3 linked regions of the Nothobranchius furzeri genome follow. The protein of the gene in region 3 purifies or fractionates together with the protein of the main gene of each other region. This does not show direct contact. Links are inferred from orthologs where the notes say so. Each region holds a gene or a part of one and is shown on either strand. Other genes may lie near its edges. The genes, in order: hnrnpub, ybx1 and dap3.

What was found.
Region 1: the proteins of dap3 (region 3) and hnrnpub purify together in Homo sapiens (affinity purification with mass spectrometry; 3 studies listed by BioGRID and IntAct, with this or other methods). This does not show direct contact. The link is inferred for Nothobranchius furzeri from reciprocal best matches to the Homo sapiens genes DAP3 and HNRNPU.
Region 2: the proteins of dap3 (region 3) and ybx1 purify together in Homo sapiens (co-immunoprecipitation; 3 studies listed by BioGRID and IntAct, with this or other methods). This does not show direct contact. The link is inferred for Nothobranchius furzeri from reciprocal best matches to the Homo sapiens genes DAP3 and YBX1.

Annotation. Positions count from the first base shown.
Region 1 is NC_091742.1:29,989,498-29,998,321, forward strand, and holds the end of hnrnpub (heterogeneous nuclear ribonucleoprotein Ub), read right to left. Parts: intron 8,305-8,824; coding exon 8,225-8,304; intron 8,151-8,224; coding exon 8,011-8,150; intron 7,923-8,010; coding exon 7,823-7,922; intron 7,344-7,822; coding exon 7,231-7,343; intron 6,885-7,230; coding exon 6,621-6,884; intron 6,543-6,620; coding exon 6,423-6,542; intron 6,232-6,422; coding exon 6,103-6,231; intron 6,030-6,102; coding exon 5,861-6,029; intron 5,773-5,860; coding exon 5,491-5,772; intron 5,421-5,490; coding exon 5,146-5,420; intron 5,068-5,145; coding exon 4,933-5,067; intron 4,856-4,932; coding exon 4,805-4,855; 3' UTR 4,575-4,804; downstream 1-4,574. UniProt on the Homo sapiens protein: DNA- and RNA-binding protein involved in several cellular processes such as nuclear chromatin organization, telomere-length regulation, transcription, mRNA alternative splicing and stability, Xist-mediated transcriptional silencing and mitotic cell progression.
Region 2 is NC_091755.1:32,511,476-32,521,987, forward strand, and holds ybx1 (Y-box-binding protein 1), read right to left. Parts: upstream 6,943-10,512; 5' UTR 6,766-6,942; coding exon 6,660-6,765; intron 5,144-6,659; coding exon 5,080-5,143; intron 4,846-5,079; coding exon 4,812-4,845; intron 4,730-4,811; coding exon 4,640-4,729; intron 4,558-4,639; coding exon 4,279-4,557; intron 3,917-4,278; coding exon 3,819-3,916; exon of another isoform or gene 3,549-3,818; coding exon 3,308-3,548; 3' UTR 3,265-3,307; exon of another isoform or gene 3,195-3,264; 3' UTR 2,841-3,194; downstream 1-2,840. Other genes in the region: arhgef16 (rho guanine nucleotide exchange factor 16), read left to right, coding at 152-304, 380-509, 675-749, 851-943, 1,070-1,221, 1,716-1,901, 2,097-2,161, 2,321-2,422 and 1 more. UniProt on the Homo sapiens protein: DNA- and RNA-binding protein involved in various processes, such as translational repression, RNA stabilization, mRNA splicing, DNA repair and transcription regulation.
Region 3 is NC_091745.1:77,851,431-77,861,927, forward strand, and holds the start of dap3 (small ribosomal subunit protein mS29), read right to left. Parts: upstream 4,939-10,497; 5' UTR 4,853-4,938; exon of another isoform or gene 4,694-4,852; intron 4,606-4,693; 5' UTR 4,603-4,605; coding exon 4,462-4,602; intron 478-4,461; coding exon 376-477; intron 291-375; coding exon 182-290; intron 102-181; coding exon 9-101; intron 1-8. UniProt on the Homo sapiens protein: As a component of the mitochondrial small ribosomal subunit, it plays a role in the translation of mitochondrial mRNAs. Involved in mediating interferon-gamma-induced cell death. Displays GTPase activity in vitro.

The sequences.
Region 1 (8,824 bases), on a different chromosome or scaffold from region 3:
AGTCATACCAATATACAAAAGTGGTGAAAAACTCACTTTTTCCAATTACAGACCAATATCCTTATTGTCGCAATTTCAAAAATGTTAGAAAAACTATTTATTACTGGGCTAGATGAATTCCTGACGCAAGAAAATATATTAAACGAGAGTCAATGTGGTTTTAGAACTAATCATTCAACTTCCGTGGCACTAATGGAACTTACAGCAGAAATATCAGAAGCCACTGACAAAAAGAACCATTTCATAAGTATTTTTATTGATTTAAAAAAAGCGTTTGATACAGTAGATCGTGAAATTCTTCTTTAAAAACTTAGTAAATATGGTATCAAAGCAATGGCTCTAAAATGGTTAACAAGTTAAATGAATGATAGGAAACAATATGTACAAATAAATGACATTAAATCAAATCTACGTGATATTACTTGTGGGGTACCACAAGGGTCAGTACTGGGTCCGAAACTATTTATTATGTATATAAATGATATTGCCTCTATATCAAATATATTAAAATGTGTTCTATTTGCAGATGACACTACCTTTTATTATGCAGGAGATAATATCAAACAGATGGTATGAACAGTACAAACTGAGATGAAAAAATAAAATTATGGCTTGATGGGAATAAACTCTCATTAAACACTGATAAACAATTTCATGATATTTAGTAAAAGTAACTCAAATGATACAAGTCTATTGAATACAGAAGATATTAATATTACAAGAGTAAAAGAAGTAAAATTTTTGTGAGTTATAATCGATGAAAATGTATGTTGGAAGCCACATATAAACAACGTGAAAACTAAAATAGCTAAAACAATTGCAATGTTACGTAGAGTAAAATGGTCACTGGATGATAGCTCCCTATATTTATTATATAATTCACTTATTGCACCATATTTGAACTATTGAATAGAAATCTGGGACACTACATACAAAAGTTATACTAATTCTATCTATATATTGCAAAAAAGCTATAAGAATCATTACAAGGATTAATTACAGAGATCCATCCAACCCGTTATTCATAAAAACAAAAACAGTAGAATTCTATGACCTAGTGGACTACAATATTTCTATATAATGCAAACAAAAAAAACCTTCCTACAAATTTACTTAGAAGATTTATAAAAAGACAGAGTAAATATGAACTAAAAGGACATGAATTATTTACAATACCTAAGCATAGAATAATTATAAAGGAGCGCTGTGTCTCTACATATGGAGTTAAAGTATGGAATAAGCAAGGTAATGTAATCAAGGATGCAAAAACGATATTTACTTTCAAAAACTAATTAAAAATGAAATACTGGAATCATACATGTGCAAATCAATTATATACAAATAAATAAAGCTATAGAAGATGTGAGTAGGTATGTTCATGTGTGTATGTATACATATGTATGTATGCTTGCGTATGTAGTGGATACGTGTGTACATCTATATGTATATGTAGAGATGAAGTATGTGTGACCATATGGGCATGCGATGCACTTTAATGTATATATGTATGAATAGGTATATGTGCAAAAATCCTGTTGCTTTTTGAATTATTATTGCTATTAAGTTTTTCGTTTTTCTTTAAAAATTGAACTCAAGTTAGCTAACCAGTCGAGCCATTACTTTGTATAGGCTCATTTATAATTATTGTTATTTCAGTGTTAAAATGTAATTTTAGTTAAAAAGGGGCAGAAAATACGTTTTCTTCTTTCTGTTCCCTTTTCATTTTCTTGTTTTGAGAAACCTCATTTTATTGTTAGTATTGATTTTTTTCTATTTTCTACTATAAATGAAACAAATAAAGAAAAAAAACACATTCAGAATCTTAGGCAATTATATTATGAAAAGGTTCAATATAAGTGTCCCACTATAATCAGTTAATGGATCCAGAACACCTGCAGAGGGTTCCTGAGCCTTTAGATGGTCTCCCAGTCTGAGCTGACCATATTGGTTTATGCTTGACGCATTCACTTTCCGCGTGGTGATGCAGCTCGCGGCTGGAACACGCTTCACAACTTGCAGTGTTTATGGTTCATGCGGCTCGTCTCTGCGGTGAGCCAATATTCTGGAGGTAGGAGGTGGAGGTAGTCAATAAGTACAAGTACCTTGGGCTGTGGGTGGACAATAAACTGGACTGGTCATGCAACACAGGCCACCTGTATAAGAAAGCCCAAGGTCGACTGTACTTCCTCAGGAGGCTGAGGTCTTTTAACATCTGCAGGAAGCTCCTGAGGATGTTTTACGAGTCAGTGGTTGCCGGAGTACTTCTTTTTGCTGTGGTGTGCTGGGGGAGTGGCACAGCGAAGAAGGACACATCTAGGCTGGAGAAGCTGATCAGGAAGGCAGGCTCTGTGGCCGGCATGAAACTGGACACGTTGGTGTCAGTGGCAGAGGAAAGGACATTAAAAAAACTGCTTGACATCATGGACAATGCTGGGCATCCTCTGCACACGGCCACAAACAAACAGCAGAGTCTGTTCAGTGAAAGGCTGCTTCTCCCCAAGATGAGAACTAACAGACTTAAAAACTCCTTCGTCCCACACGCCATCAGACTGTATAACTCCTCTCTGGAGGGGAGAGGGAGGAGAAACAGGAGGACAAAGGAGGGGGGGACACCGAAGCTGTAGTGACTCTTCGCTTCACTGTGCAATACCTCAATGCAAGTACAGTTAAATTGGTTTAATGCTCCACGGTGCTAAGGACGTTGATATCCGGAAGGTGCGATTCAATTGTATTTTTATATTTATTTCTATTTTTATTATTATTTAATATTTTCTGACGTTCTGTAACCTCTGTCGGTGTTGCGCTGCTTTTTTTGGAAACTGAATTTCCTGAAGGAACTCACCCGAGGGATTAATAGTTTTATCTTATCTTCTCCCAAACTGTAGGGGGCAGCATGGAGCTCTACAGCATGCATCCAACACTACACCATAGTAGAAGTAGAAATGACTGTTTACAACATGGCATTCCAGCATTTTTAACAGCGTCCTCGTCTTTTCCGACAGTGCGAGCTATTTCTCTCCAAGAATTATTAACAACATGTTGATCACGGTGATCTCTGAGAGCTGAATCATACAAATGCCTGTATTTACCAACCTCTGCCGTACTAGTTCTTGCTGGTCCGCCATGTTTTTCCGCGTCCGTCCGTCCGCGTGGTTAGAAATTTTCCGAGGTGCGCGATGCGGAAATTCTGGGCCGTGCGGAGACGCGGTGGAGGGGCGTGGTTGCTAAAATGACGCAACTTTTCCGCGCGGAGTCGCGCGGACGCGTCAAGCATAAACCAGCCAGGTTCACTGGTGGAGAGCCAGCAGACCAGCTCCAGAGGAGAACTTTGCTTTCCTTTTGAAGTAAATCGAATGAAGATCAAACATTTTCATTAGATTGATCTACATCTACAACTGGTTGGCTTGGAGGATTCAACAGATTTACTTGGGCCACTGGCAGCATAATTAAAATCTATGGAATCATGGTTCATACAGAATTTTACTACAAACACAGAAGTGCTCTGATGTGTTGGGTTTAATGTTCTGTTAGCAAGGGGGTGAATGCCTCTGCTGTTCTGTATTGGTTTACCAATAGTGATGTCATTTCCTTTATAATAAACATCTACTGTAAACCGAGACACCGCGGCAGTGATGCTGTTCACGCCAAAATAAGAGTAAAAAATCTCAAAAGGTCTTAAAATGTTGGAGTTATTTATTGAGACCTGATTGTTGTAAACCTGTAACACCGTCATAAAAATACACCACCAGCTGTCGGCCTTAAGGGTTTACACACGGCAGAGAAACGGACGGACATGGACTCCAGCTTCTCTTCACGTCACAGAACACATGCATGAATAACCAGTGGGGTATTTACAGGCGTCTAAAGCCCAGCAGGAGGTAAAGCAGGATGTTTCTGCTGCCATGGGGAGCGGCCGTTGCCCCAAAGCCACACAGTCACCGAGACAACGCAGCTAGAAAGGTCCAGAAGCTGCTGGAAAGCCGTGGGGACGCTGTGCAGTTCGCTGGTGAGGAAGTGTCGGAGCTGAAGCGTCGTCGGGTCAGCTCGGGTCACACTCAGAAGTCTACAGCGCTACAGGAAGCAGCAAACCCAAACCCTGCGTCTCCTGAAGCGTGTAGAACCAGAGCTCCAGTGTGACGGGGAGGATGGAGGAAAACCTTCTCATAAGCAGAAACACGCCAACGAGGCGCCCGTCCACAAGCCTTAGAGCTAAACTACAACTCACACGTCAGAAAGTAGAAAAGCAAAGGAGAGTTTATTGTAGGTCTATGACGTTTATTACAGATTTGAATGAAGGAAGTAAAACAACCAACTGTAAATGACCTGCTTCCTGTAACGCGTCAGATTAACAGCTATAATTTATCCTGGGTTCTGCGAAGGAACCCACATTTGTCTTGATCAGAACACACGTCTCAAACGTCCGACAGAACTAATAAAAAACAATATTTACAATTTGTAATAATAAAAAAGCAAAAATCACAACACAGATAAAATGCACAACCCTGAAAACGAAAACACGCCACGGGGAGGGTTTCTGCTCCTGCGGGTAGAGGTTTTCTCTGAGAGCAGGGGGTTAAACGTGGAGGAGGGACGAGCAAACCTAAAGAAAACCATAAAGACGCTGAACCCGACCCTCGTGCTGCTCCCTGATGGAAGGATGGAGCTCCGCTTCGCTCCGGTCTCCGTGGGCTTCAGGAGGTTAAAAGGGGACTCTAAAGAAAACAGACTAAAGGGGGTGGGGCGGGGTGGTTTCCGTGGCTACGGTGGGTTCTCAGTGTCGACCACCAGTCCCTTAGAACGAGTCTCAGTAGTACCCGGGCTGGTACTGCTGGCTCCAGCGTTTCTGGTTCCAGAACTGGAAAAGATCACAGACAAACAGGACGGATTACTTTCTGCTCATGAATCATTAATGAGGTGCAGGAGGACACTGACCCCTTGCTGCCAGCTCTGGTTAAAGGCCTGGGCCTTGTCCATGCCGTTCCTGTTGCCAAAGTTCCCACTGTTCCTGCTGTTCCCAAAGCTGTTCTTGTTGCCAAAGTTGCCACGGTTACCACCTCTGGGCTGGAACTGTGGAGAACACAGCCACACATGACTTGAGATATTTACGCTTGCAGCCACGCAGCAGACCCGGAGAACCACGCCCACCTGGCTGGGATGACCCCGGTTTGGATTCCGACTCATGTTGCCTCCGCCTCCTCTGTTCATCTGACCCCCACGGTTCATCTGACCCCCACGGTTCATGGGTCCGCCCCTGTGTCCCATGTTACCCCTCATTGGACCGCCTCTTGGAGAGCCTCCCAGACTGGGAATGGGGGCGCCGCCACGGCTGAAGCTGCCGCGGTTGGGGAACCCCCCCCGAAAGGCCGGCGGAGGCAGGAAGCCACGAGGAGGACGGCTGAAGCCACCACGGGGGCCAGGAGCTGTGGACACGTCGATACAGTTAGCTGTTCCACTAAACTCCCAGCATGCACCACTCCCCTGAAGACCTACCTCCTCTGAAGTTGCCTCTGTTCTGGAAGCCTCCACGACCCCCCCCCCTCTGTCCAGGTCCACCACCACGGCCAAACTGGTTCTTGCCTCCCCGGCCGCCACCACGCGGGCCACCGCCCCTTTTTGGCGCCGTGCTCCCCTGGTTGGGCTTCTTCTCGGCGGGCAGGGCCGACTTGCTCTCCTCTTTGTACTGGTCCAGCAGCTTGGCGGCGTCCGCCTTGGGCAGCTCAGCGTAGACGACCTCGCTGAAGCTGTCGCCCTCCTCCGGCAGAGCGAAGAAGCCTGGTGCGGGTTAGGGGCGCAGGGAGGAAACCAGGACAGAGTCAGACACCAGACTAAAGAAAAGACTTGTGGGTGAAATAACGCGGACCTTTCATCTTGAGCAAAGCGTGCTCCGGCACATCTTTGCCGTCACTCTCCACCTTCTTCTGGACTCTCTGCTTGTACTCCTCGTCAGACGGACAGACCACCACAGCTTTACGCTTGAAGCCGGCAAACAGACACATCTTCCTCTTCTGGCCGGGTGCAGACAGGTTGGTCTGGAAGGAAGCAGTCAGGAGTTACACACACGCGCCAACCCTGAAAACAGCGTCGTCACGACCGCCCACTTACATGGTCTAGTATGTAGTTCCTCTTCTTGCGGGCGGCGATCTCGATGAACTTCCCCAGGAAGAGAGGCGCTCTCTGGGAAATGGTGCTGAGCTTGGTGATGTCCTTGGACTGGCGCTTCAGGCTGTTGATCTGGTTTAAACCACACACACACACACACACACACACACACACACACACACACACACACACACACACAGATGAGTGGAAGGACAGAGCCACTTCTACCCAACCAGCTAGCTGCCACACACACACACACACACACACACACACACACACACACACACACACACACACACACACACACACACACACACACATACCATCATTTTGTCCACAATCGTGTCACTTCCCAGGATGTAGTACTTCCCAGGGTTCTGTTGGACCTGGTTCTTCACCCATGTGGTCTTGCCTGAGCCTGGCAGACCAACCATCACGATGATCTGCAAAAGCAGGCAGTTTGCTCAGGTTCTAGTCAGTCGCACCGTTATTCACACACCGCAGAGGTCCGTCACACACACCTCGCAGTCGGCCTTGGTCTGAGGCCCCTTCACACCCCTCACACGCTCATCGACGGGGATCTGCTGCATGAAGGTGTAGCCCTCAGGCTGAGGGAAGTACGGGGTCTCCATCTGGCCAAAGTTGAACTCCACAGCACAGTTGCGACAGATGACGTGAGGAAAAAGGGCCTGGCCGTTTAGAGAGTCTTTCTGGACCTGGAAGGCCACAGCTGGCTCTCCACCATTCTTGGAGAAGGACAGCACCACCTCCTCACCCTCAAAGTCCTGAATCGAGGAGGAAAGGCGACATTTTGGTTTAGAAAGATGTGGTGAATGTTCTAACCCTAGAACAATCTTCCTACGCCCCCTACAGGGGCTCAGAGGTAAAGCACCCACTCCTGCAGCTCTGGACCAGGCCTCTGGGAGGTTGCTGGTTCCATGCCAGGACACTGCTGCTCTTCTTTTGCACTACGTCCACTTTTTTCTAGTCTAGCTCAGCCTACTCACCTATCTCTGTGCCTGCACTGGCTCGTCCAGCCAATCACAGGAGGGGTCACGCCCTTTCCTACCGTACACCATGGTACGGGTCTAATGTGTGTCTGGAAGTTTTAAAAAAGGAATCTGGACTTACGATGAGGCAGCAGATGACGTCGTTCTCCTCGTACGGCTCTCCGAAGTCCTCGGTCACACAGTTGGTCGTCTTCTTGCCTTTCCAGGAGTAGCCGAAGGAAAACTCCTCCTCACCTGAACACCAACAGATTACCATCAGCAGCCACAACTCACCTCCGCTGGCATTCACACCAACATGCTATGTTGCTTACAGCCCACTAGAGGGAGCTGTTGAGTCGGTCACGCATGACCGCAGCTGCCTGACGTCATGACTAAATAAACACATGGGGTAGAGACTTCCCAGGCTAAATCTGATGTTATTTATATTTAAGAGAAAAACAAGATAAAACAACAATAAAAGACACGAAATCCAGTTCAGCAGCTGTGTGTTTGGTAAAAATGTGACCTTTGACCCTGATGAATGTCACACACAGCGCCATAATGAAACCCTACAGTGGGTTTAACATACGGACTGGACAGGCATAAAGACAGCTCGGCCTATCGCCGCTGGTCGTTAAACCGGCTTAAACAGGTTCTGCTGCTGCTTATGGAAGATGTGGTGCCAGGTGTGAGAAGCTAAACCCTCGTGTAGCTTCACAAGCTGCTTCACCGACCTAGGAGCAGCGAGCCGGTAGCCAGAGACCATCCGACCTGGACATCGTGAATCTCCAGGTTCTTGCTGGATATGTGCTTCACTGGAATCTTCTCTGTAACCTGCAATCACACCACACACGACTCTAGCAACACCACCAGTCGGGGTTTAAAACACCAGCGCTGCAGGAAGCAGCAGCAGAGGACTTACCTTCATCTCAAAGCAAGCCTTGCCTTGGTTTACACCGTGAGTGGCCTTGCCTCCAGACCAGAGGTACGCGAAGCTCTCCATCGTGAGGGACGAAGCGCTGTAACGGTCCCGCGACACCTTGAAGTGCAGGTCGCAGTTGTCTGCAGAACACAAACTTCCCGTAAACAACACCGGCATCAACGTGTCCCTGCAGGTCACCAACATCAACTCTTACAGCTGTCCAGGCAGACTTTGGTCTCATCAAGCTCCTCGTCCTCTTCCTCCAAGGGCGGTACCGGAGACTTAAACGAAGCACTGAAAGAAGACGGCAGCGAGTAAATTAGAGGATTCACGCGGGGGTGACAGTGGAGCACATTGATGTTCTTTGGGACCATTTGCTGAAAAACATCACAGGAGAGAAGTGGACGGGCTTTAAGAAAGGGAAACAGAACATGACTGAGCCTCACAAACCCTGGCAGGAACCGACTTACCCAACAGCATCCGCAGAAATCTAAAACGGGAAAGATACAGACCGTCGCCATCGCCCCGTGATGTTGATCAGATGTGAATATCGTCCAGGTGAGTGTGAGCTCAGGGCTGCTATGTGATGTGTGGGACCGCTGGATCATGTTGTGTTTTAAATCAAGACTAAGAATTAAAACTGGACATCATGAATCTATGAAACACCAGTCTGTGTCTGAAACCTTCCCTGGTGTCCTCACGCTGTGTAGCAGCCGAGTCTGGATCCCGTTCATACCAGGTGAACGAAGACTCTCGGCACCGTAGAGGTGATTTAATCCTTGTTCAAATAAAACCTCCAGATCTACGTTCAGCT
Region 2 (10,512 bases), on a different chromosome or scaffold from region 3:
GCTTGCTGTCAGGGTGGCACTGGCCCACCCTGAACCCCACCTAGATACACCCCTGTTGTTTGCTAAAAGCCTTAAATCTGAACCTGACCCTTTTATCCACGAGGGGAGAAGCCTGCCCTTTTTACTTCACCATTAATGCTCAATATTTCAGGTTTTTCCAGGACCTGGAACAACGTCACAACGAGCAGCTGATGATTCGGGACATCAGCGACATTGTGCAGAACCACGCCGCGCACCACTTTGATCCCTACATCGTCTACTGCTCCAATGAGACGTTTCAACAGAGGACACTTCAGAAGCTGCTGTGAGGAGCACGCCGTACGAGCTGATGGCGTTACTCCAGGAGCACGTCTGAAGTTCTCTCCTTGTTGTGTCTTAGGAACAATAACGCTGCGTTTAAAGAGACTCTGAAGCAGATCGAGTCGAACAGCGAATGCGGAGGCCTCCCCATGCTCTCGTTCCTCATCCTGCCCATGCAGAGAGTCACCAGGCTGCCGCTGCTGCTCGATGTTAGTTTAACCTTTGACTGTAGAAACAGACTTTAGAGCTAAAAACAGTGATTTTTTAGCTGTTTGAACATAATACTAAAAATATCTGACTGTATAATTTCTAATAGCGTGCAGTAATTTAGCTACGGTATTACTCCTTTAATTGCTTTATTTTTCTATTTGCAGACAATCTGTCAGAAAACTCCAGCACAGACAGCGGAGTATTTTTCTGCTGTTTGGGCACTGAATGCCATGAGTAAGGTATAACAAGTCAGCTGAGTGGAAAACACTCCTCATCAGTACACGTGTGTTGAGGATGTTGATGTTTTGATTTGTTTTTGCTGCTGTTGTGATCTCAACAGTTGGTCACAAGCTGCAACGACGGTGCAAGGCGGATGGAGAGGACGGAGCAGATGTACACGATCCAGAAACAGATGGATTTTGGAAAAATAAAGGTGAGTATTTCTGCAGAAATGTGCTCAGAGCGGTTCGTTTAGGGTAAAACGAGCAAACTAACAGATTTAATATGAACAGTGATGAATCTGAATCAGCACAGAAAACTAACAGCTGTCTCCTCGCAGCCTTTCCCGCTGATTTCATCATCACGATGGCTGAAGAAGCGAGGAGAGCTCTCCATCTCCAGCGAGGAGCTCAGCATATGGAGAGCGTTCAGCAACAGGAGCTACTACCTGTTTCTCTTCTCTGATGTACTCATCATCACCAGGAAGAAGACGTGAGTGGATTCACCGAGCTTGTTCATATTATTCACCCGAGTTTCTGAATGAAGCTGAAAATTACAGATCCGATTCTGATTCAGAGTACTTCAAACCTAGTTGTGCTGCCTGTCTAATTTACAGCCAGCTTGAGAGTGTCTGATAGAGGCGTTATGTTGTCTTTGTGACCTGTGGACACTAAACAGACCCAGCTGGTCACAGGAACACGAGCAGAGGGTATGGGATGTGTTGCATGCATACTTGGGATTCTTCAATCTTGCATTCAGCTCGTCAGCTCGACCGACTTCTGTTTTGAGTTAGGGAGAAGCCAAACAACGTCCGCTCAGAGGACGGGTTTGTCCACAACACCGGGTTCAAAGTCAAAGCTGTGACCCGGTTTCAGGTGAAAGCATACGATAAGGGTTTAAGCAGACAGCTGAGGAATATGCTGCTTTTTAAACACGGTCACTCCTACACGCTACCCATATGGAACGTAATGTTTTTTTAAATCCAGAGAGGAGAGCTTCGTGGTGCTGGACTACGCCACTCTGGAGAACGTGGAGGTGGAGTTAGGGGAGGATGCAGAAGTACGAGGAGTGTCACCTACAAAATACAACTCCAACCAGCTTTCCTTCAGACTAAGGATGAGTAAGAACAGCGAGGGGAAGTCAGAGCAAACCTCTCTGGTGGCTGACTCCAGGTACTGCTGCACTCCCATGTTCCTAAAGTAAATGTAATGTTTCCTACTAATAACACTGCCTCTAACCTGGACAAGAACCGCCTTGTAAACATGTATCTGCAGGCTGGACTCATAAAGCCTTCCTGTAATCCACGATTCTGAGTGTTTGGCTCCCTCTGCTGGCAGAATGATAGCTCACTGTTCTCTCTTGCCAAGGGTGGACCGAGCTCGCTGGATAATTGCACTGAGAGGGAAGCAGACCAGTTTTACCTGCACAAACGGTAAGTCTGCATACTTCAGTGAGTTGCTGTAATGATGGTTGAGACTTTTTCCCTGTGAGGATAAGCTGCACAGAATTTCCTTTCGTTCTTTTAATATTTTAAATCATTTGAGTTAGATTTGTGAACCCCAGTGCAATGCATTATGGGAATCTGTTTCAGGTTCACCACAGTATGAAGCCACCAAAGCTTACATCCCCAAAGAGCCAGATGAACTGAGTTTGCGGCAGGCTGAGCTCGTCATAGTTCTGCAAAAGGAGGAGGGTGAGACTTTCTAGCTCATACTAGTCCCGATTCTTTTCTGCTTCTGTGTTTTAAACCGTTTGCTCTCCTTAGATTGGTGCTACGGGGAGAGGATGCGGGATGGTGAGAGAGGCTGGTTTCCTGCTAACTGTGCCACAGAGATCACCGACCCCACCGCCATGGAGAATAACGTACAACGTATGAAGCGCCTGCGCAAGGAAACCAATGTTTGATCAACTGTCAGGGTTTTGCTTGGACAGACTTGTAGATAAATTACACTGAACCCCAGACGTCCATAACTAGACTGAAAGATGTTTATTAGCTGAATGTTGCCATAAAATTTGATGTAGTCAGTTTATAAAACAGTTAATGGTTCAAACATCTTCATTAAACTACTCCTATATTGTGCCTGTATAAATAATAAAATCCACCAGACACATTTTCTGGTTTCTGGAGTTTTATTTGAGCTTGCATTTTGTTAAAATGTCTGAATACATAAAAAGTTATTTAAAAATGTCAAACTGACCAGATATCAAATTTCATTTTTAATCATCTTTAAAAACCATTTGGTGTAAAAACTTAGGACAGATTTAGAAAAACATTTGTTGTTTCCCCAAAACGTTTTGTAGCTGCAAGTAAAAATAATGGGAAAGAAAAACAAGTCTGCATAGATTCTGCAGGCAATCGGTGGTAATCTGGTCAAACGCGTGGTGCAAGCTTGTGACGATCTTAAAAGTCAAATCTTTATTGCTCGGATCTTGTTTGATGTTTCTTCTTGTTGACAAAAGAAAAACTGTTGAAAAGAAACATAATTTAGTCGACATGCACCATGAACATCAAATGCTTAATGAGCTTCTGCTCACCCGGACGATGGTAAAAGATGGTAGGTGCCGGTGGGCAGGTTCACTACTCAGCCCCACCCTGCTGGGCCTCGGGAGCGGACGTTTTCTCTGCAGGTGGGTCGCCTCCTGTCTTGGCCTCCTTGTTTTCCTGGCCTGGTTTGCCACCAGTCTGTTGGCGTCTGCGGCGGTAGTTGTAGTTACGGCGGTAGCGCCTCTGGCGGGGCTGTTGATTCTGACCACCTTCACCGCCCTGATTTTCTTTGTCCTCCTCGCCGTCTCGCACCGGTCTGGGACGGGGTGGACCCCTGGAGCACAGAGACCGTCATGAGAACGATTCAGAAAATCGGGGTAAAGATTGCATTAACTGCAGATGCTGGATGAAGTTTCAAAGACATGCAAATATAAATAAAATGAATGCACAGCAGCAATTTGAGGTTGGGCTGCAACAACAGAAGTTTGTAATGTGACGTTTTGTCATCACTTCAAATTTTTAAAATGAAGCTCCAGTGGACCCAGAGCTTCACCAACTACTCCAGTTTTTGCCAACCCTTCATCAATAAAGCCAACATGCAAACCTTGGTGTGAACCTTGGTCGGAAGCCTCTGTAGTAGTTCTGCCTCGCCGGTTTGTTCCCCTGGTCTGGACCTCCTTGGCCCTCATCAACCTCACCTCCCTGAAAACAAACATTTAACCATAACGGACGCTTTTTTTAGTGACACACCCACTTTAGAAACTTGAAACCATCTAAGTTTTTTGTTTTAATTCTTTTTTTTTTTTTTTCAAGATTTTGTTCACAGTTTTGTTGTTTTTCATTGACAGGAGGGGCTCACTTCCAAGACCCCCGATACACCAAGATTAGTTGATCACAACCACGTTTGTGAAGAGGAGAGTAGCTCGTCTACAACAAAGGGTTTTAATTTTGGAATGGGACAACTGGGTGACTGTTTCAGGATTTTAGCCCTGTGACAGCGTACCTCAGTCATCTCTGCGTGGTGCGTTGGGTGTATGGGGCCTGCGGCCGTAGCGACTACGTACAAAATATGGTGGGTAGCGCCGTCTGCCAGGGTACGCTGGTCTGCGCTGTGGTTGCTGCGAATCTCCATCAGGGATGTTATCTCCACCCTCTCTGCTGCCTTTGTCACGTCCTCCACTGCCAGGCTCTCCCTCGTCGCTCTGGTAGTTCTCTGGATAGTCTCCTCCACGGGGAGGCCCCCTCCTTCGTGGGTAGCGTCTGTAACGGTTCCTGTCAGCAGCGTACTTACTCCCCTGGACTGCAACTCCTCCTGGGCCAGTGACATTTGCTGCCTCTGCTCCCTGTGCACAAGAAAAAAAGGCAAAGTAAATTAATCATGATGGAACACAATGTCCTTTAAACAAACAAATCAAAGAAACTTACTTTTTCTCCCTCAACTACATCAAACTCCACAGTTTCTCCGTCCCCAACACTGCGAAGATATTTCCTTGGGTTGTTCTTTTTTATGGCCGTCTGAAATTACAAATAGTTTGAATGTCAAGTCTGCTTAACCACAAATTTCAATAAATGAATAAAAACTAAAGCAACAACTGACCTGGTGTACAAAAACATCTTCCTTTGTATCGTTCCTAGACAAAAGAACAGAATCTTAGTTAGCTGCATTCTGCTGAGCCTCTGCAAACAGACTTAAAACTAAGCCAGTGGGGATTAATTAAGTTCTGTGGGTTGCAACAGGATGGAGATGAGCAGAAAAATAATATGGTCAGCCAAGTACGCAAAGCATAACTTAATAGGATTAGCATGCTTCACTCTCACCCACACCCAGAAATGTACTTTGACACAGGGACCAACAGGTGACTCACCTATTGATGAAACCATATCCATTCCTGACGTTGAACCATTTGACTGTACCCAAGACTTTTGTTGCTGCAATCACAGTCAGAACAAGATTATTAAATACCATCGTCTGCCTGACATGCATTTAGAACAAATCCATATAGCTTAAGTGAAACTGAAACGCTTCCATCATGATGGGACACTTAACGAACTACATCAGAACTATAAAAACATTAAAAACTATGGCCACACATAACGTAGAGGTTATATTTAACCCGCAACTGTCACTCCTATTATAGACACTGATGCTTAGGAGACCCCAGGGCCAGCTGCTCCTAACATGAGCCACCAGTAAGAAAATATCCCAGTAACGATACAACAACTGTCCCAAATGACGCATCCAAAATGTCCCATAATGCATGACAAAGATGAGGATGCAAACAGCGACCAGTCTCTGCACTCGCATGTTTAGTTACTGCAGACCTGCTGCTCCATTTTAGGACGCAGAACCTGAAGGTTCACACGTGGTTGGGTCGCACCCGGATACGTTAACGAGCTGTGAGCTGTGCTCTGCTGGCTATTAGCATGGCTGTGTGGCTAAGGTTAGTACCATGTGGTTGGAGTAGAGCCAGCAAAGAGAAACAAACAAACGCGCATTACTAAACTACATTAATCCGTATTTATTGGTATATATGATAAAGATTTCGGTTTTGAATTAGTTTTTAGCGAACAAATTACAAAGCAGCGGGAAAAAACGGGAAAACACACGGCGGACATTTTGGACGGCCTCCCCTAAAGCCATGTAAATAGCCACTTAGCTGGCTAGGCTAATGTAGCTAGGTTAGCAACCGATGATCTATAGTAAAGTATTTAGGCCACACCGACAGCACGCAAATTCAACCAAAATAAGACCGCCATTGACGGATGTAGCTGGAGTCGCTAGCCAACAACGTTTCTTCTGACAATTTGGCCAAAAAAATCGGGACTGAACGCTTTGGAAAAGGAGAATATTTTAGATAAAATGCCTTGACATGGAATCAAGACTCTTTCGTGCGAACAAAGAGATGGTTAAGCAGCTAACGTTCGTAGCCACTGTAGTTATTTCACATGAACCGGTGTTATAGAGCATTTGGTAGGATTGTTCTGCAATTATTGGCGGTCCAGATGCAGTTATGCAGTTATTAAACCCTAGTCAAAACATCGTGGTTCTGGCAACGGTTGGAAGTGACAGCGAGCATCCATGTGATGACCGGCCGGATACACGCGACTCTCAAACGGATATTTGACGTGAGGAGGCCGATGAGCAATGGAGATAATCAGAATGGAATTCACGATTTAATCTGTGAATAAACCACTCAATTTTTAGAAACTAGACTAATAAAAACCGTTAGATTGAATTTTTTGGACCATTATAATAAGAATGCCCAAAGGAGTGAAGAATTTATCCGTCAACTGGCACTAACGTTTACCAACTGGAGCAAATTAATTTGACGTGGCTGAAATTCTCACGCAAGAACGGCAGCTTTTATTCAAATGCTACATCCACACCCAAGAGCGTATAAATTATAAATGATAACTCCGGCTCGGCTAGCCTAAGAATTCTTACCGATGACCTTCTTATCCCCCGCGGAAGCTGCGGGTGCCGGGCTGGATGGGCTCTCCGCATCCGCAGCAGGCTGTGGAGGTTGTTGCGTCTCGGCCTCGCTGCTCATGGTTACTACTCGTTGGTAATGGCTTCAGCCGGCGGCGGCTCTCTGATATTTTTCCCGGTGCTAGATGGTAACCTGGGCCGGCGGTGGTGGGGGCTACTGCCTTCGGGCTCTCAGCTTTCTTCTTTCCGCTCCCGTTGCCGATCGAACTGGGCAGAACAAGAGACAGTGCAGGGGAATGTTCCCAGGCGAAGACCCGCCCATCTCGTCTCCTGATTAGCTAAAATATGTAGAATTGAACAAATCTCCTTCCAATTGGCTATTGAGACTGTCAATCTTTTTTGAGCAAAGCCTTTGATGAAATTATTGGTCAAAAAGACGTACAGAAGTCTCAACGCCCCCAGTGACGTAAAAGCGAGAGAATTCTGCTTGTGACACTTCCGATAGTATTATGCATTTTGAATTATGTCATACAAAACTGTGAACCATACATGTGGTATGTTGCAAATGTGACAACTTTATGTTTAATTTATTTTGTCGTTTCTAGATAGTTGAAATAATTACTACTATTGTGATGTTTACCGTGGGAACATTCTAAGAAAAGACAAATAAACACCCCATAAATATTAGCAGGTAAAGACAAAGGTAACTGCAGAATCCACTCATATTATGTTCATGCACCACTGGCACCCTTTACAAGCACAGGCCAATGTGTGAAGCGCATGCGGTTAATCTCTCTCTCTCTCTCTCTCTCTCTCTCTCTCTCTCTCTCTCTCTCTCTCTCTCTCTCTCTCTCTCTCTCTCTCTCTCTCTCTCTCTCTCTCTCTCTCTCTCTCTCTCTCTCTCTCTCTCTCTCTCTCTCTCTCTCTCTCTCTCTCTCTCTCTCTCTCTCTCTCGGAGTTAGTGCTGCTAGATTAGACAGATTTTATGTCTCTGGTAAAAAAAAAAAACAGCTTGGGCATTTCGTGCAAGAGAGGGCCAAAGGGGCCTTGATCCGGGCTCGTTTCACCACATTACAGGACATGGATGCTCCAACATCCTTCTTTTTTAACCTGGAAAAGACTTTCAAACCAGAAAAAAACAAATGGTTGCTCTTCGTCTGTCAGATGGACAGTTATCCACAGACCCAGTGGAGATGAGGAAGTATGCAGGAGAATTCTATACCAGCCTATTTAAGGCCATGTGATGTGAACTGTGCCAGAGAGCTGTTGCAGGGGCTCCCTTCCTTGACCACAGCAGACCAAGACATCTTAAATGCAGACATAACCATGGAGGAGCTTACAACGGCAGTCTCCCAGATGGCTGCAGGAAAATCTCTGGGGATAGATGGCTTACCTGCTGACTTCTACAAATTCTACTGGAGCAGTATGGGACAGGACCTGATGGATGTTTTTAAAGACTCACTTCAGACAGGAGCACTTCCTGCATCGTGTAGGTGGGGCGTTCTGTCCCTGCTGCCGAAAAAGGGGACTTAACCCAACTAAAATACTGGAGACCAGTTTCCTTGTTATGTTCAGACAATAAGATTTTTTCTAAATTCTTATCAAACAGACTTTGGGGATTCATCGGAGGTCTAATCCCAGACGATCAGTCCTTTTGAATACCAGGAAAGTAATTAATGGACAATTTATTTTTAATGAGAGGCTACGGGCCTTTGGTTTTGGGGGGTCCTTTCTGGAATGGATTAAGATGCTGTATAGGAATGTCAGCTGTATGGTGAAGGTAGCGGAGGGCCTGAGTCAACCCATACCAGTTTTAAGAGGAATCAAGACAGGGTTGTCTCATCTCAGGACAACTGTATATTTTAGCTAATGAACAACTGCTGTGTCGGCTAAGGAACAGGCTGAAAGGTCTACACCTACCTTTACCTGTCTCTAGTCCTCCCTAAGTTGTGTCTGCTTATGCAGATGATGTGAATGTTTTTATCCATGATCAGCAGGATGCACAAGAACTCAGATCTAGTTTACTTTTACATGAGAATCCATCCTCGGCTAATGTTAACTGGGACAAGAGTGAGACATGTGTAGTGGGGGGGTGGGACCTTGGTAATGTCCCGCCTCTGCCAGAAAGGCTGAGGTGGGGAGCGGGAGGTATTAAAATACTAGGCCTGTACTTGGGTAGTGAAAGATTTCAGAAACAAAACTGGGAGAAGGTGCTGGAGAAGGTGGAGGTGTGGTTGTCTAAATGGAAATGGCTTCTCCCCCAGCTGTCCTACAGGGGCAGGGTTCTGATAGCAAACAACCTGGTCGCCTCGTTTCTGTGGCACAGACTGATTGTACTGGTTCCACCACCGGGTCTGCTGGAAGGTGTTCAGAAGCTGTTGGTGAAATTCTTCTGGTCCGGTCACCACTGGATCAGAGCTTCGGCTCTTTGCCTACCCGTGTCAGAGGGAGGACAAGGACTTGTCTAGAAGTGGTGTCTAGAACTGCAGCCTTCAGGTTACAGACGGCTCAGAAGCTTCTATATGTTGACAGACTCTGCAGGCTCCCCCTGGCTCATCTCCTGCTGTAGAAGGTTGGTGGGCTTGGGCTGAACAAACACCTGTTCCTGTTGAATCGGAAGGTGTTGGATCTGACGAGGATCAGTCCGTTCTACTCGTCAGTGCGGACACATTTAAGCTGCTGACAATTTCCCGAGTGTCTGACATGGGACCAGGGACATGGTTGCTACAAGAACCCTTGTTTGACAATGACTTCTTCTCTCGAGCTGGCATTTTAACTTTGTCTGCAATGAAAGTTAAGTTCACCGATGCTGGGACTGTAATGTTTGGTCACTTACTGAACATCTCGGCTGGAACCCTTGGTGAGCGGGTGGATGTGAGGTCCACCAGTGATGGAGAGAGTGGTGGAGGAGGTACGGAGGTCCTTGTCTGTGTTGCAGTCTTTGTTGAGACTTGTACTCTATCTGACCAATGGGATGATGACAGTGAGTACGTTTTTCCATCTTTGGAGGTTAAAGCAGCTGGTGAGGGTTGGCAGGAGGAGAGTGGATCACTGCTGAACCCGAACACTCCAGTGTTGGGCTCCTTCCAGTCTTGTGGGAAGAAACAGATCTATCACAATTGTGTGAAGGTTATCCATAGGTGCTCTTTGTTAGGAGTCGAGGTGGACTCAGGTGTTTGCTGCAGACCGTGCCCCTGGGGGCAGCTGGAGGAGTTTGTATAAGTCTCCGTGGTAAAAAGGATGGCAGACCTCCAGTGGAGGATCATACATGGAGCTTTAGCTATGAACAGACACAGGGCCCGCTTTGATCCAAGCACCGGGGAGGGATGTCCTTTTTGTAACCAAACAGAAACCCTAGAGCATCTAGTGGTAGCATGTTCTAGGTTACCAGAGATGTTCAGGGTTTTAGAATGGTGGGTTAGTGCACTGGGGGAGGCTTTTACCCTACCCTTATTTGTTTTCGGGCCCAAGTACAATGTCAGAAAAAACGGACAATATTGTAAATTAACTTTTTATTTGCATGTGCAAAACTAGCCATCTGGAAAACCAGGAAAAACCAGATGCTGGGACAGAGCTGGACTTATGCTGAGCGGAGCCTGAAGGGCCTGGTGGAAGCTCGCTTAAAGATCAAACACGCTTTTTATGAACTAACTGGGAACCTGGACTCGTTTAGAGCGGTGTGGGGGATCGGGCTGGTGCTCTGTCTGCTGGATGGACAGGGCTCCCTAAGGATCAACTTCTAAACTGGGTTTATCGAGTTTCCTGGTTTTATCAGTGGAAAACAAGTTTCAGTCATTAACGCTGATTGTTGATTTCTAAAGAAAAATAAATAATTTAAGTCAAAAAAAGTCTCTCTCTCTCTCTCTCA
Region 3 (10,497 bases):
TGTCTCACCATCGGGAACGTGCAGCACCAGCCATCCCTGTGTGTAGCAGAAGTGGACGGTGTGACAGAGGGACATGGTTTTGCCGCTACCCTTTAACCCGTCTGACCAACTCCATCAGGACACAAACTGACTCATTCAGAGCAAAGAGAAAACCCCAGTGTGTGTGTGTTTTAAAGGATACAGAATAAATATCTCTGAGCAGGTTTGCTGAAGTCCGTGCTTTTCAAGTACGAGATGACCTCCAGGGCCGGCTGCCTTACCATGACGCAGGCTTCGTTGAACGTTTTTGCCTAAACCAAATCAGGAATGTTTACATTTGATGCAGCAAATACTAAAATGCACACGTGAGTGTCATCGTTCTGCGCTTTCACATGCCTGTTGCTGAAAGCGGTAGGGGAGGCCATGAGGGAACAGAGGGCGGACGTGAGAGGGCGGCAGCGTGTAGAACTGTCCGATGTGTTTCTCTGTGTGACCGGCCTAAGAAGACACACAAACAAGAGCAAAAGTAATAAAAAATCATGTTTAACTGGCATCCTTCAAAACAAAGTTCATGTGATTCTAATACTGTATAATAAAAGCCAGATTAAAGCATTAAAGTGAAACTAACTACAAATGCAGAAAATAATTAAATCACCCTGTACATAGTTTGTTTAGCTAAATGCAAACAAAGCGTACTCCAAATAATTCAACATGTTCACGCCTTTATCCTCCATAGCATGGTGCGGTTCCAGTGATGATCATCAAAAGCACACACAGTGGCGGTTTTACCATTAGGCATAGGTCGGCGGCCGCCTGGGGCCCCCTTATGTTGAGGGGGTCCCCTAGCTCTGACCGCCAGGCCAGCACCCCTCTGTTAATGCCACAGTGGACCATTCCTTTAAAACTCGATGCACAAACAGGAAGTGATTGGTAGTCATTCCACTCCAATCCAGTTGGTGGCAGTAATGCACCAAATTGTTGTTTGCCAAGTGCCATAAGACCACAAATAAGAAGAAGAAGAGAGGCGGGAGCGTTCGTAACAAACTCAAAGCGATAGTCAAAACATGAAGCATGAAATGGAGTTATCCTAGTGGCTCCAATAAGAGAAAGAAGCAGCTCGCTTTAAAAAAGCTTTTGGCTTCACTCCCAAAAGTGACGTCGTTTTTCTATGTAAACATCAAAAGGAAGCAGAAAAGGAAAGACGATGGAAAATGTTTAAAGGGAAGAAAACACAGACCAAAATGGAAAATAGAAGAAGAAAAAATAAAGGTAAAAAGCACAGGAGCACTGACAGGAAGACGAAAGCAGAGCAAATATTGAAAGCGCTCAAAGGGAGAGAAAGACAGGAAAAATGAGGAGGACTAATAAAACGTGAAAATAACTCGTGGCAGAAGAGGAGAGAGTTTCGCAAATCCAGTTAAAGATGAGATTGTCGAAATTTTAGTGTAAGGGGCCCCATGACTGTGTTCGCCTTGGGCCCCCAAATAGCTAAATCCGCCACTGAACACATAAGCGTATCACAACGGTCAGGCAGGCACCTAGATAGGGTGGGGGATGGGGGGGATCTGTCCCCCCCAGATTCAGATCGACCCCGATCCATCCTAACCCTAACCAGATAAAACGTATAATTGCCGGCAGGTCTGGTCTTTGTTGACTGATCACTTTGTCTGGTCATGACTGACTCTGATTATGAAGCAGAATATTGACTCTGATGAAGAAATTCACTCATCCAGCCGGGAAGATTGAGCTGCTGCAGCATCAGACAGCTGGTGCTGCACGAGAGGTGTGTGGAGTTTACAAGCTCCAAACGTTGGGTTTGATGTTGGTTTAACCTTCTCTGGGACGTGGTGGATGTAGAAATGATGGTAAAACACCGCTAACATGACAGACGTAGCGACAATGTAAAAAAAAAAAAAAAAAAGCCGTAAAAAAGAGGCAGATGCCGATGCGTTCTTTATGGAAGTCAAGTGTGCCACATAATCATAAAAAAAGTCAAATATAAAATTTAAAAAGAGATTTATACATTTATATATAAATTAAAACTTTCCAAATATAATGAAAATGTATAAATAACGTAAAAATAAGAAGGAACATCTGTTGGTCAGGCTGAAAAGTTTGGGAACCACTGCTCTAAGTGATAAGTGAATATCGTTTTGTAAACATATTTTATGTGCAGTGTTTTAGGGTTTTTATGTTTTCTGTAAAGATCGGTATGCTGAAAATCATTTAATGTTTTGCATACAGCACGAGGTTTTGGTTACTAATTGATTGGGAGAATAACAAATGACTGACCGGAAAAGGGTGGCTTGCCACCTCCGGGTCGGGGGAGAGGTCCTACCTCAAGTGGAGGAGTTTAAGTATCTCGGGGTCTTGTTCACGAGTGAGGGTAGGAGGGATCGGGAGATCGACAGGCGGATTGGTTCGGCGTCTGCAGTGATGCGGACGCTGAGCCGATCTGTCGTGGGGAAGAGGGAGCTGAGCCAGAAAGCCAGGCTCTCGATTTACCGGTCGATCTACGTCCCAATCCTCACCTATGGTCATGAGCTTTGGGTAATGACCGAAAGAACGAGATCGCGGATACAAGCGGCCGAAATGAGTTTCCTCCGTAGGGTGGCCGGGCTCAGCCTTAGAGATAGGGTGAGGAGCTCGGACATTCGGGAGGGACTCGGAGTAGAACCGCTGCTCCTCCGGATCGAAAGGAGTCAGTTGAGGTGGTTTGGGCATCTGGTCAGGATGCCTCCTGGACGCCTCCCCGGGGAGGTGTTTCGGGCATGTCCTGCCGGCAGAAGGCCCCCGGGTCGACCCAGGACACGTTGGAGAGGTTACATCTCCAATCTGGTCCGGGAACGCCTTGGGGTCCTGCCAGAGGAGCTGGTGGAGGTGGCCGGGGAGAGGACGGCCTGGAGCTCCCTAGTTGGGATGCTGCCCCCGCGACCCGGACCCGGATAAGCGGAGGAAGACGAGACGAGACGAGACAAATGACTGAATTAAATAGTGGAGCGCCTCTGTCAGTGTGCCCCAGGGCAGCTGTGGCTACATCGTAGATCATCACTATCAGTGTGTGAATGTGTGTGAATGGATGAATGATACACTGTAGTGTAAAGCACTTTGGAGTAGGGCTGTCACGGTAACCGCAAAAATGAAATATCGCAATATGAAGAAGCCCACCGCGCTGCATCATGGGCCACCGCGATCACTGAACTTGATTCAACTCAATGATGCATGTTGAGAAGGATGGCTGCACTGGTATCAAAACAAAACGTTACTTCGCTCCTTTGGGAGCACTTTGGTTTTCAGTACGTCAGCTGCTGCGCAGCCAGAGTCCTTGGCCGAGACAGAGCTGCCACCAGCGGCAAAAATAAATAAATAAATAAATACACGCTCGGAGACCTGCTGAAGTCCGAGACAAGCACTGCTTCTGCAGCCGTCCCGAAGAGTTTGAGCCGAGCTGGAGCTCACTCGCTACCTGCAGGAGGAATGCATCCACCCTAAAGAACCCCCCTGACATGGTGGAGTAACAACCGGGAGAGATTCCCTTTGCTCGCCAGAGTCGCACGCAAGTACGTGTGCGTTAGTGCAACGAGCGCACCATCCGAGAGGGTTTTCAGTGTTGCTGGAAATGTTGCCCCCCCTCTCAGATCCTCTCTCAAACCGTATATGGTTAACATGCTGGTTTTCCTTGTGGGTAACAAGGACGTGCCCGAGCTATAAATCACCGTCATTCGTGTGTGTGAAAGTAAAATGACAGTGCCCCGCGCCCTGTACATGTAATTTTTTATGCTTGATTTTAAACAACTAAACAAAATGGGCACTTGCTTCTTATTTGTTAGATGCTGCAGCCAAATTAGCATTTAAAAGTTTAACCTCCTGAATTTTGTTGTTTTCAAGTTCAGTCGGACTCCGACTGTCGGAGAAACAAACGTTACTGCGATCTGTGTTGTTACTGCCCTTTGATCTGCATTCAGTAAAGTGTTATTAAAGAAGGAACGGCAATTTTTAACCTTTTTTAAATGTGTAAACATTATGTTTAGATAGTACTGCAATAAAAAAAGGGCTGCAATAATATCGCACACCGCAATATTAAGCCACCCTGAATCACCGTAGGGGGGATTCCTCAACCGCGACAGCCCTACTTTGGAGTCCTTACTCTGAGAGGTGCTATACAAGTGCGGATCATTTATCATTTATAGTGTTGATCAGGCAGAGCTTTGCTGCCAGCGTTCCACTGCATAACGGCTTCAAACACGTATATATAAGTTAGTTTTTACGTAAACCGTTGGATGAAATTCCACAAACTGACTGAGCTGTGTGTGTGTGTGTGTGTTTGAAGGAGGGTACATTGGAACTTTGTCCCCCCCAGTTTGAAAATCCTATCTGCGCCCCTGCGGTCAGGTGAACGTGTTTAGCAGGACTTCTGCCTTTGACCCGTCTAAACACATCTGTTGTCTGTGTTTCTACTAAAACATCTGTGTCGTGGCTCACCGGGTCTGTCTCCTGTGTTCTGCAGACCGAGAGGGGTTCAGGTTCGGACTGCGGAGCAGCAGCCTCCAGCTGCCAACATCCGCTGGTGTAAAGAGACCTGACCTTTGGCCTTAGCCTGAAAGTCAGTCTGTGGAGGGCCATGATCTGAAACACAACGGTTACATTTAAAAGGGTGTAAAGTCGAAGGCAGATGTAAAAAGTCTCGTTTGTCTCCACAGCAGTGTCACATCACCTTGCGTAAACACGTAGCTAACGGCTAGCTGTAGCCACACAAGCTAACCCGACCGCTGACGTCTCTGAAAGCTCCTCGGAAATCAGCAGGAAGCGGTGGTGGTTGTTTTCATTCAAACACATAAAACCGGCTCCACGCTGAATGTGGATAAAAACTAACCTCTGATTTCTGTTGGTGGTCAATGTGCCAGAACGCTCATGGACATCGCCATTATTCTTTACCGGAAGTGACGCGTCGTCTAAACTAGCCAATTGGCTCACACAAGCGCAATGACAGCCCATGAGAGAATTGTGTTGTTTGGAAAGCCGTTGCAGCATATAATCAAAACACTATAAAGGATTTTCAGGAACACCACACTAATGCGGTGTTTGACCCCCTTTCTCCTTCAGAACTGTATTAATTCTACGTGGCGTTGATTCAACACGCTGCTGAAAGCATTCTTTAGAAATGTTGGTCCACATTGAGAGGATAGCATCTTGGAGTTGATGGAGATGTGTGGGATGCACATCCAGGGCACGAAGCTCCCGTTCCACCACATCCCATAGATGCTCTACCGGGTTGAGATCTGGTGACTGTGGGGGTCGTTGTAGTACGGTGAACTCATCGTCATGTTCAAGAAACCAGTTAGAAATGAGTGGAGCTTTATGACCTGGTGCATTATCCTGCTGGAAGTAGCCATCAGAGGATGGGTACATGGTGGTCATGAAGGGATGGACATGGTCAGAAACAATGCTCAGGTAGCCCGTGCCATTTAAACCATGCCCAGTTGGCACTAAGGGGCCTAAAGTGTGCCAAGAAAGCATCCCCCACACCATGACACCACCACCACCAGCCTGCACAGTGGTAACGAGGCATGATGGATCCATGTTCTCATTCTGTTTACGCCAAATTCTGACTCGACCATCTGAATGTCTCAACAGAAATGGAGACTCATCAGACCAGGCAACATTTTTCCAGTCTTCAACCGTCCAGTTTTGGTGAGCTGGTGCAAACTGTAGCCTCTTTTTCCTGTTTGTAGTGGAGACGAGTGGTACCCGGTGGGGTCTTCTGCTGCTGTAGCCCATCCACCTCAAGGTTGTGCGTGTTGTGGCTTCACAAATGCTTTGCTGCTTTCCTCGGTTGTAACGAGTGGTTATTTCAGTCAAAGCTGCTCTTCTATCAGCTTGATTCAGTCGGCCCATTCTCCTCTGACCTCTAGCATCAACAAGACATTTTCTCCCACAGGACTGGATGTTTTTCCCTTTTCACACCATTCTTTGTAAACCCTAGAAATGGTTGTGGGTGAAAATCCCAGTAACTGAGCAGATTGTGAAATACTCAGACTGGCCTAACATTTCTAAAGAACGCTTTCAGCACCTTGTTGGATCAATGCCGCATAGAATTAAGGCAGTTACAAAGGCAGAACACCGTATTAGTGTGGTGTTCCTAATAATCCTTTAGGTGAGTGTCTCAATAACGCACTTGAACCATTTTGCTTCACAAAGTCATTGTCAGCCTGCATTTAATGGGCAAAATGACAGCCGTCAAATTGTCGGTTTTCTGGGAGTTCTAGTGTGAAGCTGTGATTGGCCAATCAGGAAGTCAAAATTGTATTTTTACTCATTATTTGTTGTTTGGGGGGATCCTTGAAAGCATCGCCATTAAGCACTAACAGACCCACCAAATGGAGTTTTTCATACCAAAATCAGCATTTACTGGCCGAGCTGTACATCTGAAAATCAACATCAGCCCTCAAAAGACAAGCCAAGTCATTCAAAAGACAGCAGCTTGCCTTTAGACAGGAAAGAAAAAAAGGAGAGTGCACACTCTCACACTCACGATGACTCAGAACCAGGAGTGGAAAGGGTTTTTGGAGCTGTTCCCTAATTAGTGGAACAAATTTCAATCTCTGCTATGTTTCTTTCTGGCTCAATGCTTAATTAAATTCATATTAAATTCAAAGATACTTTATTAATCCCAGAGGGAAATTAGAGTTTCAGTGCTCACAATTCTGAGATCAGACATACATACATAGACACATGACAAGAACTGGTGACTGTGGTCATTCGCAACACGAGTCGCGCTACCGTAATAGATCAAGAGGGTTTATATGAGGATAGAGTCAGGGGGAGGGAAAAAGGCACTTCAGAGTTACCCTCCACAGAGAGGGCAGCTTTGCTCTGCAAAAGAACACCTCAGACAGATATGCACACAGACTTCAGGCGTTACACAACATAAGTGTCCACTAGGTGGGGAGGTAGGGTTGGGTCTCTCCTCACTTCAGTGCGTGCAGCCGCATGGGGCAGCGCTCATCACCTCCGTTTGGACAGGGGAGAGAGATAATGGGTTAGAGAGCACGGTTCCACGGCCTTCACCGGTCACAGTCGCGCCCAGGCTGGGATAGGGAGAAAGAGTTTCCATAGCTACGACAACATTCCACATTTCTTCGCTCCAGGGCACCAGATTCAGATAATAATTGTTTTGGGGACAGACAGATAATTTCCTCTCTGCCATAGTGTTCTGTTGGTCATCAACCCCTCTAGATCCAATAATGGCTTAATCAATCTATCCCAATCCCTGCTGATCCATCCACTCGCTCCTTGATGGAATCCACCTTCTGGGTCAGAGCCTGAATCTCAGCCAAAGTTCCAAGCTTACAACTCATCTCAACAATTATATGAGTTTGTGTGTTCACAGCGCGATGCATTCCATCCCTGAGCTCCGGGATTGAGCCAATATTCCTCAAAAGCTCGTAAATTTTCCGGTAAGCCGGGTAACCGCTCAGGCCAAACAGCAGGAATCCCGACACCAAAACAACGAATATCCAAACATCTTCAGAATCCTCTACAGACAGTTGAGAGAGAAAGATCAGGTTCCACTGTTTCCAGGAGTCCATGATATGCCCAGCTGGCTCTGTCCCAGAGGGGCATCCGGGAGCCCCTTCTCCCGTTCTCATCGTTGAAAAATGTTGTCAATCGCGTTGAGAGACCAACTGACCAGGTCCATTTTTAATAAGTTCCAGTTTCCAGAAAAATGCAGAAAGCGCCGTGCACCGACAGGACAAAGAGCCTTGGGATAAGGAGAGAGGGAGAGGAGAAAAAAGCATCTGTACTCTCCAAGGGCCGGAAGAAGAATCAATGCATGAACGAATAAACTGAAAACCCAGATTCAAAAAATATTTGTAGGCTAATATTAACCACACAATTGTATTATTTGCTGTTATAATTTATTGATAAATTATTATAAAGTTAGAACTCACCACCTGCAGTAATGAGGTTCTCCACCATAGCAAAAGATTTAGCTCGGCGGGTCAGTCTAGCCACACTCCACTGTAGCCTCAGCAAGTCCATCTCTGTCCAAAGATGGCGTTGGATCAGAAACTGCATTCATTTCAAATGTTTTTGGCATCAGCTTTGGACTTTTTAGACTTGAGCTTTTTTTTTGAGACATGAAACATGACATCTGCTACATTATTGACAAACTGCCCAGCTCAATGATAATGAAGTTGTGCTTTGCTCTGATTGGTTCTAGAATTGTCCAATTGCATGTGGAGACAGTTTGAAAGGCAGCCATGGAGTTCGCCCAATGACTGCGTTGGGTGGTGGCCAGACTACGGCTTGCTAGGCTAGAGGAACGTACAAATCCTGTTAAAAAGGCAGTGACCCTAAAGTGTAGGATTGTTTATCACTAGTTAGATCACAAAAGAAAGAAAGAAAGAAAGAAAGAAAGAAAGAAAGAAAGAAAGAAAGAAAGAAAGAAAGAAAGAAAGAAAGAAAGAAAGAAAGAAAGAAAGAAAGAAAGAAAGAAAGAAAGAAAGAAAGAAAGAAAGAAAGAAAGAAAGAAAGAAAGAAAGAAAGAAAGAAAGAAAGAAAGAAAGAAAGAAATAATCTTTTATTTAGCGCCTCTCAAGATACAAATCATGAGGCGCTTCACAAAAAAACAATTAAAGTGTAAAAAAGATGAATAAAAATGAACATATTATATGTTTAAAATGAGAACAATATTAAATTGTGATAAAAAAATAATGTAAGGAAAGGGAGAGAGAAAAGGAATGGGAAAGAGGGAAATCAGTGGATCGCAGGGAAAGGCGGAATAAGTAGAAAGAGCAGAATAAGGAGAGGGTGGTGATGAAGGTCACTCAAAAGCCTGAACAGGTGAGTCTTCAGCTGCTTTTTAAAGGAGACCACTGAGTCCACTGATCTCAGGCTCAGGGAGGAGGGTATCGCTGCAGACCTGCAGATTCAGGCTTGTACTGTTTATGAGACAGCGCCGCCCACTGTTTGCTAGCACTCCAAGATGGAGTGTGATCAGAGTCGGCAGAACGTGGAGAACAGTATTTGTTTAATCCGTAAGAAGGAAGAAAACCAAAAACATAATGGACCGTCAAAAGGACCAATAATAATGCAGCTGGATTTTAAATAAAGTTTTACTTGAATAAAATGTATTCAGTTCATCACTGCAAAGTCCCACAGCGTTCTGCATTAAATTAATGAGCCATGTGTGTTTTGGTCCATCAAGGTGTTACGAGGTGGTTGATCTAAGGATGTCAAGAACCAGGAAAATAGGAAAAAGGGTTTTTTTTTATTTTTGTTTTGTTTCTACAAGCAACGTCAGTTAAATAAATATGATAAAAGCTTTTCTTATTAAAAGTGACTCAGGAGTTTTCACATTTGTATTTTGAGAGCTACATCACTGAAGCTTTAACAACGACTAAACTATTTTTAATAAGCTTCCCCCACAGTTACACATTTTATTTGTAACTATTAAACAGTAGAAGCTTGAATCAGCAGTCGGCCTGAATCTGCGTTCTCCGGGTCTGCAGCGATGTACTGTTGGGCTCAGGGGGAGAGAGCTCCAGAGTCTGGGGGCCACAGCAGCAGATTCAATTCAATTCAAGTTTATTTATAAAGCGCCAAATCACGACAAGAGTCGTCTCAAGGCACTTCACATAATAAACATTCCAATTCAGGTCAGTTCATTAAGCCAATCAGAAATAATGTTTCCTATATAAGGAACCCAGCAAACTGCATCGAGTCACTGACTAGTGTCAGTGACTACAGCAATCCTCATACTAAGCAAGCATGTAGCGACTGTGGAGAGGAAAACTCCCTTTCAACAGGAAGAAACCTCCAGAGAATCCTGGCTCAGTATAAGCAGCCACACACACACACACACACACACACACACACACACACGCACGCACGCACGCACGCACGCACGCACGCACGCACACACACACCAAGCAATGTGTCTATGGTTACATTGTGATTTCTTAGTAAATATTCTATTTGGCGAGAGTTAACTTTATTGTATTTATCCTAGTGAATCTATTGTTAAACGGGTAAACTAGTAGTAGCACATCCAACGTCAAGGAAAGCAACAGATGAGCTGCCACCTTTAGCCTGGTGCTACACAACCACGAGGCTTTGGTCACTGGACCTCAGGGACCTGCTGGGGGTTCAGGGACTGTGAAGCTCGATGTGGTTGTTTGTGATTTGGTGTTTGCTGGTATCTCAGATTCAGTCACAATGCTGTTTCGATCTGATTCGATTTAAGATCCACTGCACACGAGTCAACGTTACGAGAGACCGAATACGAAAATTTCCCAGGTGAGAAATGATGCATTTACTGTTTTCACACTGCTCGCCATGAGGCCACAAGCTGCTTTATTTAACACCTTTGGTTGGATGTGCAAGAATAGGTGGTCAACAGCATACCAACAGAACTTCAAAATAAAGCAATTTTCAAAATAAAAGAGCATTTGATAAATAGGCTAGTTATTCTATTGATTTTTGCATTTTGGATTGATAAATAGTAAATGTAGA